Linked DNA regions of Drosophila melanogaster. The protein of the gene in region 1 purifies or fractionates together with the protein of each later gene. This does not show direct contact. Each region holds a gene or a part of one and is shown on either strand. Other genes may lie near its edges.

What was found. Proteins that work in one complex are often made in the same cells at the same time.
Region 2: the proteins of RpL28 (region 1) and RpL26 fractionate together in Drosophila melanogaster (co-fractionation; one study listed by BioGRID). This does not show direct contact.

The regions. Positions count from the first base shown.
Region 1 is NT_037436.4:3,219,455-3,225,783, reverse strand, and holds RpL28 (ribosomal protein L28), read left to right. Parts: upstream 1-2,825; 5' UTR 2,826-2,996; exon of another isoform or gene 2,997-3,209; intron 3,210-3,242; exon of another isoform or gene 3,243-3,418; intron 3,419-3,454; exon of another isoform or gene 3,455-3,631; intron 3,632-3,667; exon of another isoform or gene 3,668-3,734; intron 3,735-3,802; 5' UTR 3,803-3,809; coding exon 3,810-3,902; intron 3,903-3,936; exon of another isoform or gene 3,937-4,013; intron 4,014-4,074; coding exon 4,075-4,317; intron 4,318-4,356; exon of another isoform or gene 4,357-4,434; intron 4,435-4,500; coding exon 4,501-4,599; 3' UTR 4,600-4,873; downstream 4,874-6,329. Other genes in the region: eIF1 (eukaryotic translation initiation factor 1), read right to left, coding at 1,324-1,470, 1,857-2,014, 2,258-2,285; nSMase (neutral sphingomyelinase), read right to left, coding at 5,066-6,329.
Region 2 is NT_037436.4:18,896,406-18,900,908, reverse strand, and holds RpL26 (ribosomal protein L26), read right to left. Parts: upstream 1,806-4,503; 5' UTR 1,770-1,805; intron 1,604-1,769; 5' UTR 1,590-1,603; coding exon 1,140-1,589; 3' UTR 501-1,139; downstream 1-500. Other genes in the region: arx (asterix), read left to right, coding at 1-8; CG3902 (uncharacterized protein), read left to right, coding at 2,734-2,769, 2,860-2,965.

The DNA of each region.
Region 1 (6,329 bases):
CGTTAGCCAAGTTGACAAATGAATTGTTAAGGTTGTGCCTGGTTTTTTTCACCACCAACTTGTCACGCGAAAAATCCAAAAATTCGACTTCTCATCGTCATAGAAAACTTTCGCCGTTTCGATAGATCGCAAGTCAGGGTTGCAAGCGATTGCAAATACTAAAAAAAAAAAGTAACTCGATTGTCACTAGTTTTTCCTGACAGGTTTTTAAAAGTGCGTAGCATGAGACACGCAAGTCAAGGCATGCGTTCACGCTTTTCGTTAACGATTATTGCTTAAATGGTTATTGCGTTTCAATGTAAATGTAGAGAGTAGCCTGCGGAAGACCGCACAAATACAAGCACGCTACCCAAAAATATCGAACAAAAAATACCAACTGCCTGCGAAGCGACAACCCTGAAACGTGCAAGAACATAATATTGCTAAGCGAAATCCAGCCCACCCGCCCCCTCTCCGACATGTTATCTGCACCATTATTCGCCTATATTCACTTACCACTGGGATGAATGGAAATCCCGGGCTCATCCGCCTGCAGACGGCGATTTCGTGCAGCTGTGACAGCGCTGAGGCGAAAACCACTTGTTAAATTTGGCCGAACGAACAAAATGAAACACCAAGCGTTCCGCGCGTCCACGTATTCTTCACTGAACGTTCTGCTGGCGAATTATCGTTGGGAAATTCGTCAGTTGCAACGCGTCGATTTCGGGGGACGAATTTGCCTACGTTTGACACTCAGATAACTCTTTTTTCCAGCAAAATGCAACACACGCAAAAACTTCGCGCTCCGATTTTTTGTGCCTAAATTAGTGTGACTGCAGAACAGTCTGACAAATGTACCCAAGAACGCCTAAGGTGGTATTCCCCTCGAGGTGTGAAACGTTGCTGAAGCTAAGACAACAACCAAATCAGACGTTCCTGAATTTGAATATTTTTTTTAATATTTTCGTTGACAATAAATAAATGGCCCACCTTTCGTTTTACTATATTTTAATTCAGAATCTTATCCGAATAGCTATGAAATACCAATGGGCGTTTTCTGCGTTACAAGCCAGAAAAACCAATTCGAAATACAAGCATTTATAATTTTTTCGACCCATTATACTACGACAGCGCCCGCACACATTCATTTATTTAAATTGAACATTTAATTTTATTTATAACATTGTTCTCAGTAAATGGTCTATTGCTTCTGTATGTTTATGTTCTATCAAGAGAGTTTGAATAATTCGGAACAAAGAACTTTTCCAAGTTTTTGGGTGTTGTTGCAGAGCTTAAGAATGAAAGAGTGGTATGAAGATTCACACGGTTTGTTCGTTCGACCGCTTAGAAGCCGTGCACCTTCAGCTGATCCGGCTTAGCTAGACCCACCTTCGTCAACCATTGACAGATGTTCTCACGCTGATCGCCCTGGAGCTGCAGAACCTCACCATACTCTGGGTGCTCGATTACAGTGCCATTGCATGCGAATTCCTGTGAATGAATGTAATTAATATGTTAGTGCTTTTCAACCAAATCCACAACCGACGAAGCAATCAATGTTTTAAACAATGTCTTGAATATGTGCAAATGAACTGCTGACCAAATAGATTTCAATAATATTCGCAGTTTCTTCAAAAATCTGTGCTTTGGAGCTATGAAATGGTTTCTATAGCAAAGAAATCTAATTATAATCGAATAATCTTTCAAACATCTCTTTTTGTATGTACCACTTAGTAAGGGATGTTTAAACTTCCATTCATGGAAATCAATAGATTAGGGGTTCAGATTTTACTGGATTAGCAGTTAAAACGCGTGCATATTATCTTGCTTCGACAGTTGAGGGATATTCCACACAAGGATACCCTAGGTGGACCCACCTTCTTGCAGGAGCGGACTATCTTCTTCAAGTCATACTCCGCGGACAGGCCCTGGACAGTGGTTAGCGTCTTGCGACCGTTCCTCTGCTGGATTCTTATATGCACTAGCCCGTCTTGAATATCATCATCATTGCCCTTGATTGCATCAGCAAAGGGGTCTGTAAAGGCGGAAAAAGGCTTGGTTATTGCGACTATCGGGAAATTCAGGGCATGCAAGATGTAAAACGCAGGTTGTAAGGCATGTAATCACACCCCAGCAGCGTGTTTTTCTTTTGTACCAGAATGCGCTTATGTGCGTGTGTATGGGTGTGTGTGTGTTCGTGATGATGACCGTCAGGGCGGCCATTTTTATGTACATGTGTAGGAGTCGGGGAAAAGTGTCTCGTTTGGCCTAAACTTACCACGAGTGTTTAAATTCTGGATGGACATACGACAATAAAAACAAACCACAGCCTAAAACAAAAACTTTTTGAAATGATTTGTTGATAGTCAAACTTTAATTTAACGTTTTACTGATTGAGTTTTTTTTCGGAAATGTGTCTGACAAGTAGACTAGAGCTGGAAAAAAATCGATTTCTAATCGATACTATCGAGTGTTCAGAAGATGGGCAACGCCCGCCAGCATCAATTATAATCACTTGATTTAAAATTGTTAATCACAAGGGTCTTCGTAAATTTATGAGTTTTTGGAGTTTTCGCAAATAATTAATCAATACCATAGCTTTTGCTTATATTCTAAAAATATGCTACAAAAATATTATAAAACTATATAAGCAATTAAATTTGCAAAAATTAAATTCATGTTATGTAGTTTTGAAAATACAAATCAGACAAATTTTAAATATTATCTGCTATGTGTTAGCGTACGAAATGCTTATCGATAGTTGCCCTGCCAACTCGCACAACACAGAATGCAACCCAGTGTTTTCGGCAAGCGCAGCCAACTTCGCGCTATGTCGGGCTGCCATATTTCTTTCCTTCTTGTATTTCAACGAGAAAAGGTGGGCATTTTGCGTTTGTTCTCGATTTGGTTAAGTTCTAGCGTTCTCTCAGCGTCCCAAGCGCTCCGCAAGTGTAGAGGTATAATGCCTGCACCACGTGTTGCCGTCTATTTGGCTGCCGGCCCGCTAAACCTCGGAGGTAAATTGAGTTTTACCCACACGTGCAACGCAGCGGGCAAATAGTGAATAAAAATTTGAATTAATTTGTAGCGAACCCATAATGGACTTAATCAAATAGTCTATATTACTAAGCGAACGTGGCGTTGATCAATACCAAATTTAATATCGTTTTTCTCTTTCTTTGCATGCTGCTTTTCCTACTGCTGATTTTACATGGATCTTTTCAATAAAGGTAAGAACACGTGTGGTCTTAAAATGCGTGATTAATTCTGTGATGAATGATTGAGCAGAAGAGTTCTTGAAGACTATATTCATCACCCAAGACTGAATATAACAGAAATATCGTTGTCTTTTATTCAGAAAAACATAATCTAACTGCCGACTTTCTTTTTGTTCCATGTTCACCTTTTGGCTGTGTAATTTATTGATTTTCCTTTAAAGGTAAGCATATAAAATGTGTTCAAAATCCTTATTTTTGTCTTAATGAGGATTGATTTAGCAGAAGAGTTCTTGAAGACTATATTCATCACCCAAAACTGAAAACGTTGCAGTTCTTCAAGAAATTAATATAGAAATTATTAATCTAATCACGAAATTTGTTTTTATTTCATGTTCCCCTTTCTTGCTTGCGTTTCTGGCGATTTGATCAAAAAGGTAAGCATTAAAATCTATATTGAGTACTTCAGTTGTGGCTTAATGAGGATTGATTTAGCAGAAGAGTTCTTGAAGACTATATTCATCACCCAAAACTGAAATACCTTTGAAAAACTTTAAATATGGCTTTTTCCTGAGCAATTACTAATATGTTCTTAACTTCTATTCCAGACGTGAGATGGCAACCTCTTCGCACCTCAATTGGTTGATCATTCGCAACAACAACGCCTTCTTGTTGAAGAAGCGCGATGTGAAGAAGCCCTTCAGCACAGTAAGTAAATATGGATTTAAATAACGTGCACCACATTTAAATGATGTTTCCAACTTATAACTTTCACAATGATATTTGAATACAACATGATAGTAACTTTAATCTGATAAAAGTTGGCTTCATCACTACTATGATATGACAAGCACATTACTGACTTCTAAATCCCTTCCAGGAGCCAAACAACTTGGCCAGCGTGAGCTCGTACCGCTACAGCGGCATCGTGCACAAGAAGACCCTGGGAGTCGTGCCAGCTGCCGACAAGAAGGGCTTCACCGCCGTGCTGAAGAAGGGCAAGTATGCCCAGCGCCCCGCCAAGAACACCGTGCGTGTTGACTTCAAGGCCGGTCCCCGCCGTTCCCTGAAGAAGCTGAAGAACCTGCTTATCGGCTCCAAGTACCGCAAGGACCTGACACAGGTGATTATGGCTCCAAGCCTAGAAACAACTGTTTGGGTTCTTGTCATGATGATCTTTTTTTTAATGCTACACAACCAAGATCGCAGAATGATCGTGTTGATAAACTTATCTGAAGCTCTCAAAGCTGAAGCTTATCGTACTTCAGTGTTAGGCCTATTCTAATGATTTTACTTGTGCTTATAGGCTGCCCTCCGCCGCGCTTCCGCTGTCCTGCGCTCCCAGAAGCCCGCCCCCGTCAAGGGAAAGAAGGCCGAGTTTGCTAAGGGAAAGAAGCCCGAATAAACTGTACCAGATTGGGGCTATGCGGAGCTGTTTTCTACTCGAGAATAAAGAAAAAATATTAAAAACACCGTAATATTAATACAGTTCTGTGGTTATTTGTCGATAATGGGTAGCGACCAAGTACTGCATACTTTGGGGCGGTAGTTATGAAATTTTCTATAACCATGAATGAGCTTACCATATATATTGTTGCTTATTAAACGACAAACTATATTATTGTTGATACAAAAGGTATCTTTAGATCAATCAATCTTTGTTTGCCTAAATGATTCTCACTTTTATTGAACTATTATTCCTGGGATATGGATGACGTTACACAGAAAGAGACCATGGAATTGCATTGACGGTTACACGAATAAAAAGATCAAGTAAGAGCGCTATAACTCTAGTCAAACATATATCGCTGCTTATAGTACGCTACACGTGGATTTTAAATGCGCATTGAGCTTGGCTGCTATACACAGCCTCAGTAGAAGTACTCGTACTTCTGGGCGTGGTGCAGCATCACCTCCATCGACTTCTTGCCCTGCAGGACCCCATTTCGTTCCATATAGTTCCAGATGGAGGCCATGAAGACGCAGAACAGGATCACGCCAAACACGATGAACTTGAGCAGCAGAAAGATAGTGCGCATGCCCACGGGGGCGGTGAACTCCACCAGAAGGACCAAGAGGACAAACAGGAAGGTGGCGGCGCTGTAGTACAGTATTCGATCAGTGTTTAACTGCAGCAGGGAAGCATCGCACAGCGCCAGAGCTTCAAGAAGGGCAGCAGTTCTAGCGGCGGGCATGGATTGAATGGAAGTGGAGCTTCCATTGCATTGGATCTCCGGCTGGTGTTGTGATGACTGATCGTCCTCTCCTGTCAAAGCATCCCCTGCTCCTACTTCCCTCACGGAACAGGTTTCACCATCCTCTACCAGGCAGTTCACCTCGATCGTTGCCACTGGCTCCTCACTTCTAGGTTCCAGCTTGAATAACTTCAGCTTGGCCATCACCGCCTCGTGGTCGGAGAAGCTAAATTTCTCGCCGGGTACTCGCTCCGGAAAAGGCAGTTTGTATTCGGCTATCTCAGCATTTACATGATCGCCACCACGCACAAAGATGTGATCGATACGGATACCCAGAGGATTTCTCTCCCGTGCTTGCTTAGATGTGTATGAGTTGTGTTCGCATTCGTTGGTCCGAAAAGAGTCCGAGTCGCAGCTGTCGAGCATCTTGGAGGTATAGAGCAGCACCTTGTAAGAGATGTCCTGTGGCTGGGCATTCAGGTCGCCAGCCAGAATCTGCAGCGCAGAGTTCCCCCTGGTGGCTTCAATGAATTGAGCAGTATCGAAGGCCTGAATAACGCGATGTGTCTTGTACTCGTCGTTGGCATTGTCGTACTCCGCGTGCAGGTGGGCATTATATAGGTGCACCATCTGCCCGCCGACGAGTATGCGGCACAGGCCCACACCTTTGCCGCCGAACCAATCGGCATGCTGAATACGGTGGAAGTAGCCATTTACGGACCACGCATGAAACAGAGTGCCCAGGATGGGGTACTTGGACAGTACCAGCAGACCGGCGCCCATCACGCCGCTGTGAAAGTAGTGGCTATGGGGCAGGACCGCCTCCGTGCCCTTTTGGAGTAGCTCGCTGTCCTCTTGCGCCCACACCTCCTGCAGGGACACGATGTCATACTTCCCGCTAGCCAGCTCCTTGCAGATGGCATCGATGCGGGGTCTGCGA
Region 2 (4,503 bases), about 16 Mb from region 1:
GCCAGTAGTTCGTGTTCATCAAGAATTACTCCCACTGCCAAAGAACAAAAACCAAAACATTTTATCGGGGCTTATACTCGTTATTATAACCAAAAAAAACAATTCCACGGCCAAATTGTTAAAATTAACATGTGCTGTGAAACAAGTATTGCTCGCAGTTCAGATGAGCAAATGACAAAATCAATCTCATATTATTCTGAGATAATGAAAATAACATACATATCCCAAATTCATGTACATGTGTAAACTATGTGCCTTTTTCCATTAACGACACAGATAATCGTGAAATAAAGCATTTCACTTTGTTTCTTATCAAAAAAAATACTCGTTTCTTACTCTTCCTTAACCTATCAGTTTATCCCCAACAATACCTTTATTCGTTTATACCTTTAATTCGTTATTGCCAAAGTGGGTATATAAATAGGGGAAATCCGACGTATATTGGTTTCTTTAGTTATCCTAATAATATTGGCTGTTTTTCAAATCGGTCTGTTCTGTTTATTCTACCTACAAAATGAAACTCTTTGGGAAAGTTAAATAGCTTTGAAAGTTTGCTGTTGATGCTTATCAAGATTGTATAGTAGGAATACACGATCGATTATACATGTAAGTAGCCATTACGTATTAAATCTGCTATTTTTGGATTTTTGGTTACAAGCTTAACTTAAATCAATCATTTGACTATTAATTTGAATGGATGGATGCCAAATACAGCATTTTATAAGTCCAAATTCAATGAAAACTCTATTTCAAGCTAATGCAAGTCAATTAAAGGTTTTAACTTTTAGAGTAACAAAAATATGGAGAAGATGGCAGTATAAGTTATATCTGAAACAGAATCTAATCGGGCAGTAATCAAACATCAATAATCTTTGCAAAACAAATAGCAGAGCGTCTCTTTTTAAACTACTCCAAAACTTCTCAGCTACGTCGGTTTTCCGGCACATTTATCTAAAACTTCATTCAGGGAAATAAGCCAACAGATCCATTTGTGAAAATCAACTTTCCTTTATTGTAAAGAATGGCGCCGTTTTCACACGCGATTTTTTTCAGATGTTTTGTTTTTTACACTAAGCGTTACGGTAAAAACAGTAAACAGCGACGTCCCAGTTGTCCAGAGCAGAGTTTTAGCCGGCGATTTACGCGGTCTCCATGGGCTGGGCGGCGGTCTCCTCGGTGTACTTGCCCTTATCCTTGCCGAGAGCGGCCAGACGACCCTTGCCGCGACGCTCCAGGATGGCCTTGCGGTCCTTGTCGAGCTTCAGCTTGACGATCAGCACCTTGCTGGGATGGATGCCCACGTAGACGTTGGTGCCGTTGGCGTTCTCGCGCTGGATCTTCTCGACGTAGACGACGAACTTTTTGCGGTAGGCCTGGACCACCTTGCCCACCTGGTTGCCCTTGAAGTGGCCGCGGATCACCTGGACCTCATCGTCGCGGCGGATGGGCATGGAACGCACATTGTACTTCTGGCGCAGCTCCTTGGAGAGGGGAGCGGACATGAGGCGCCTGCGAATGTGGGAGGGAGCCTGGAAGTGACGCTTGCGGTTCTTCCTGCGCGACGACGACACGAACGGGTTCTGTTTCATCTTGCTTGTGCGGGCTGTAAACAAAAAATAGGCACTGCTTTATTGGCGGGCTCTCCGAAATTCACAATAATTGCACGAACGAGTCGTGCGTTGTTTTCTCTGCTCGATTTCATTGTTTATGGGGCATAATATGTGGGGATGCCGGGCCAAAAACGAAATTAATCACGAAAACGCACTCACCGTCGAAAAATCAACGAAAAGAAAGAAATTTGACAGATGGGTCGCGGTTAGGGATGGCAAAGAGGCAGTGCTGGAGGTGGTATTTCGTAACGATAGTTAACGATGTTATCGGTTGTACTTGTCAGGGGTGAAGAGCATTGGATTCTACGTTTATAAATGGTTTTGATAGCTCATTTTCCTTCTTCTACGCTTATTTTTTTCCTATGAAATTGTTTAAATATTTACTGTTTTGTTTATGTCTTCCTGTAACTGTTTAATTTAATTCAGCTAGTATCGATAACACTGTCATCTCTAAGTCGTGAACTGTCAAATTCAAAGCATGTGCTTTGCAACACTTCAAGGGAGTGTGTCTTTGCTAAAATCGTGGTCTTGTTTTCACTGTTACAATTCAATATTTTCCAATTGGAAACCAGTTTAAATTTTTCCCAACTCGTGAAAAATAAAAATAATTTTAAATTTTCGTTAAACGTTTTTATTACGTTTTAAAAGCATATTTTTCACATGTCAACATACTGATAGTTATAATTTAATAACGGTTCTTAATACCTTTGTAAAAAATGAAATACAGATCAAGGATCTAACGAAAGGCCATTAATAAAGTAGATATGTAAGTAATATAAAAAATATAGACAAATAGTTTTAATAGAATCAATAGCAATTCAGTGATTGAATTCATATTTTTACCAGCGTTGAAGAAAGTTCAGTAACATCTGTTGATCATCCGCACTAACAGAATGTTACCGAAAAGCTCAACGAAATACAGCCCGCTGTTAACTAACATGGCGCTTCGCCAACAGCAACAGGTTTCCTATGGTCCACGATCCCCACATATGTGGAGAATGGAAATTCAGTCGCGTGTGAGCAGCCCACTTTTAACGTTGTGGTGTCTCTGGGGATCAGATCCAAAATTCAAAAAAGTCCAGTTTGGCCTCTTGATTAAATCAATTCTTCCACTTCATTCAAGATGATGAACAGCCTAAAGAAATTGCCCGTGCGCATGGTGAGTTGGCCACGCCCCCCTAACCGACACCTTTATACATACATATATGCCTACAACTAATTCCTTTTTCTTTATTAATTAACTTTTTAGCTGGCTAACGCTGCACGTCAGCAAAGTGCTGCGATGTCCTCGGCAACTGGTCTCCCCCCACCCCTCACCTTTCTCACCGACGATGAGAAAATGATGAAGGAGACTGGTGAGTATACCCTTTGGATCTAAATAGATCATAGTGTTAATGGTACTGTACACGGAGTTGTAGTCCCCATTTGATAGGCGTGTTTTTTCTCCATGTCGAATTTTTAGATATTTTTATGGTGTTTAGAACTTGCTTGGTGTTACGTAACACCAAGCATCGCATTTTAATGATGCTCTTGTTATTTATTAATTTTCCATTGTGCTAACCAGCTGAAGTCTTGCTGCACTACTATGTGTGTATTCGTATTTTTCGAGTTTTGTTCTTTTTTTTTTCCTTTTTTGCTGATAAAGTTTATTCAGTTGAGGGAAACGCGGAGGAGGCCGCTTGCCAGATAAGCACATTTTTATTTTGATAGTAGAAGTAAAATGTCACTAAGTATTAGTGGGTAGGTTTGTCCATTTTCTTTATGACGTTTGTATGTTTAAATATTACAAGATATACAATTTCCGATTTGATCCTTATTGTAAAATGACGATCAACGATTATTACCTTATAATTAATTCCTTATTAAATTAATTTTTCTGGCGATTATTATATAATTTGTAATGATTAATCCCTTAAATTTTTTGTAGTGTAATAAACCTAATATTTTTAAGGTAAATGAGGTCCTTGAATGTGTTTCTATGTTTATAATTTATTCCCTTTGGTGAAAAATATTTTTATCTATATAAAATAATTTTTAATAAAACTATTTCAGTATTTAATAATAGTATGCTTAAAAGTTACAAAATATTAATGATTCATCCCACTGAGGTCCTTAGGTGACAATTTTGTTATGTACTGCCATAATAAGGTTAGCTCTTAAAAATCATACGATTTCTTAAAGCTGGTTACATGCATGTTTAATGAATATAATTAAATTTAGAAAGTTACAAATAATATAATAATATAATATATATAATAATATTTCGAATATCGTGTTGTGTCAAATGTGTTTAAAAGTGTTCACTTAAACTAAATGAATATATGTATTCTTAAAAAGTGCACAATTAATGGCCGAAGAGCTAAAGCTGCCAGCTTGGCAAGTTCAAGGTCTAACCTTATAACAAGCTTTTTTCCCGATGGAAAAATTTTCCTCCCACCTGCTTAATTCTTTAAAAAATTATAATTAATTGATAATAATAATAATTTACCAGTGAGAAAACTTACCCAGGTGGGCTGAAGGAAAAAGGGGTGGGCCCCGCACACACGCCCACCCTGCTCACACACACACACACGCGTGTTCTAAAAATAGCTTTTGCCCACCGCCAACGCTGAACATCGAGTTTCGTCGCTGATATTTCTCGGTTGGCCGTGGTGTTCCTCGTTGAGCGGCCGGCACATAAAGAAAGCAATTTACCAAAGCGCGAGTTCGAGCCCTCAAATTATAAGCCTCTCTCATCCAAGATCCTCTCATTTCCCCTCCCACAGAGTACTGTTATTGCGTGCGCGGAATGTTTCTTATTAAACTTATATAGTGTCCTTAAGGATATCCTTTAACCACGAGTTTTCACAGGTCAGTCAGCTGTACGGTTCTGGTTTTAAACGTCAACCGAATA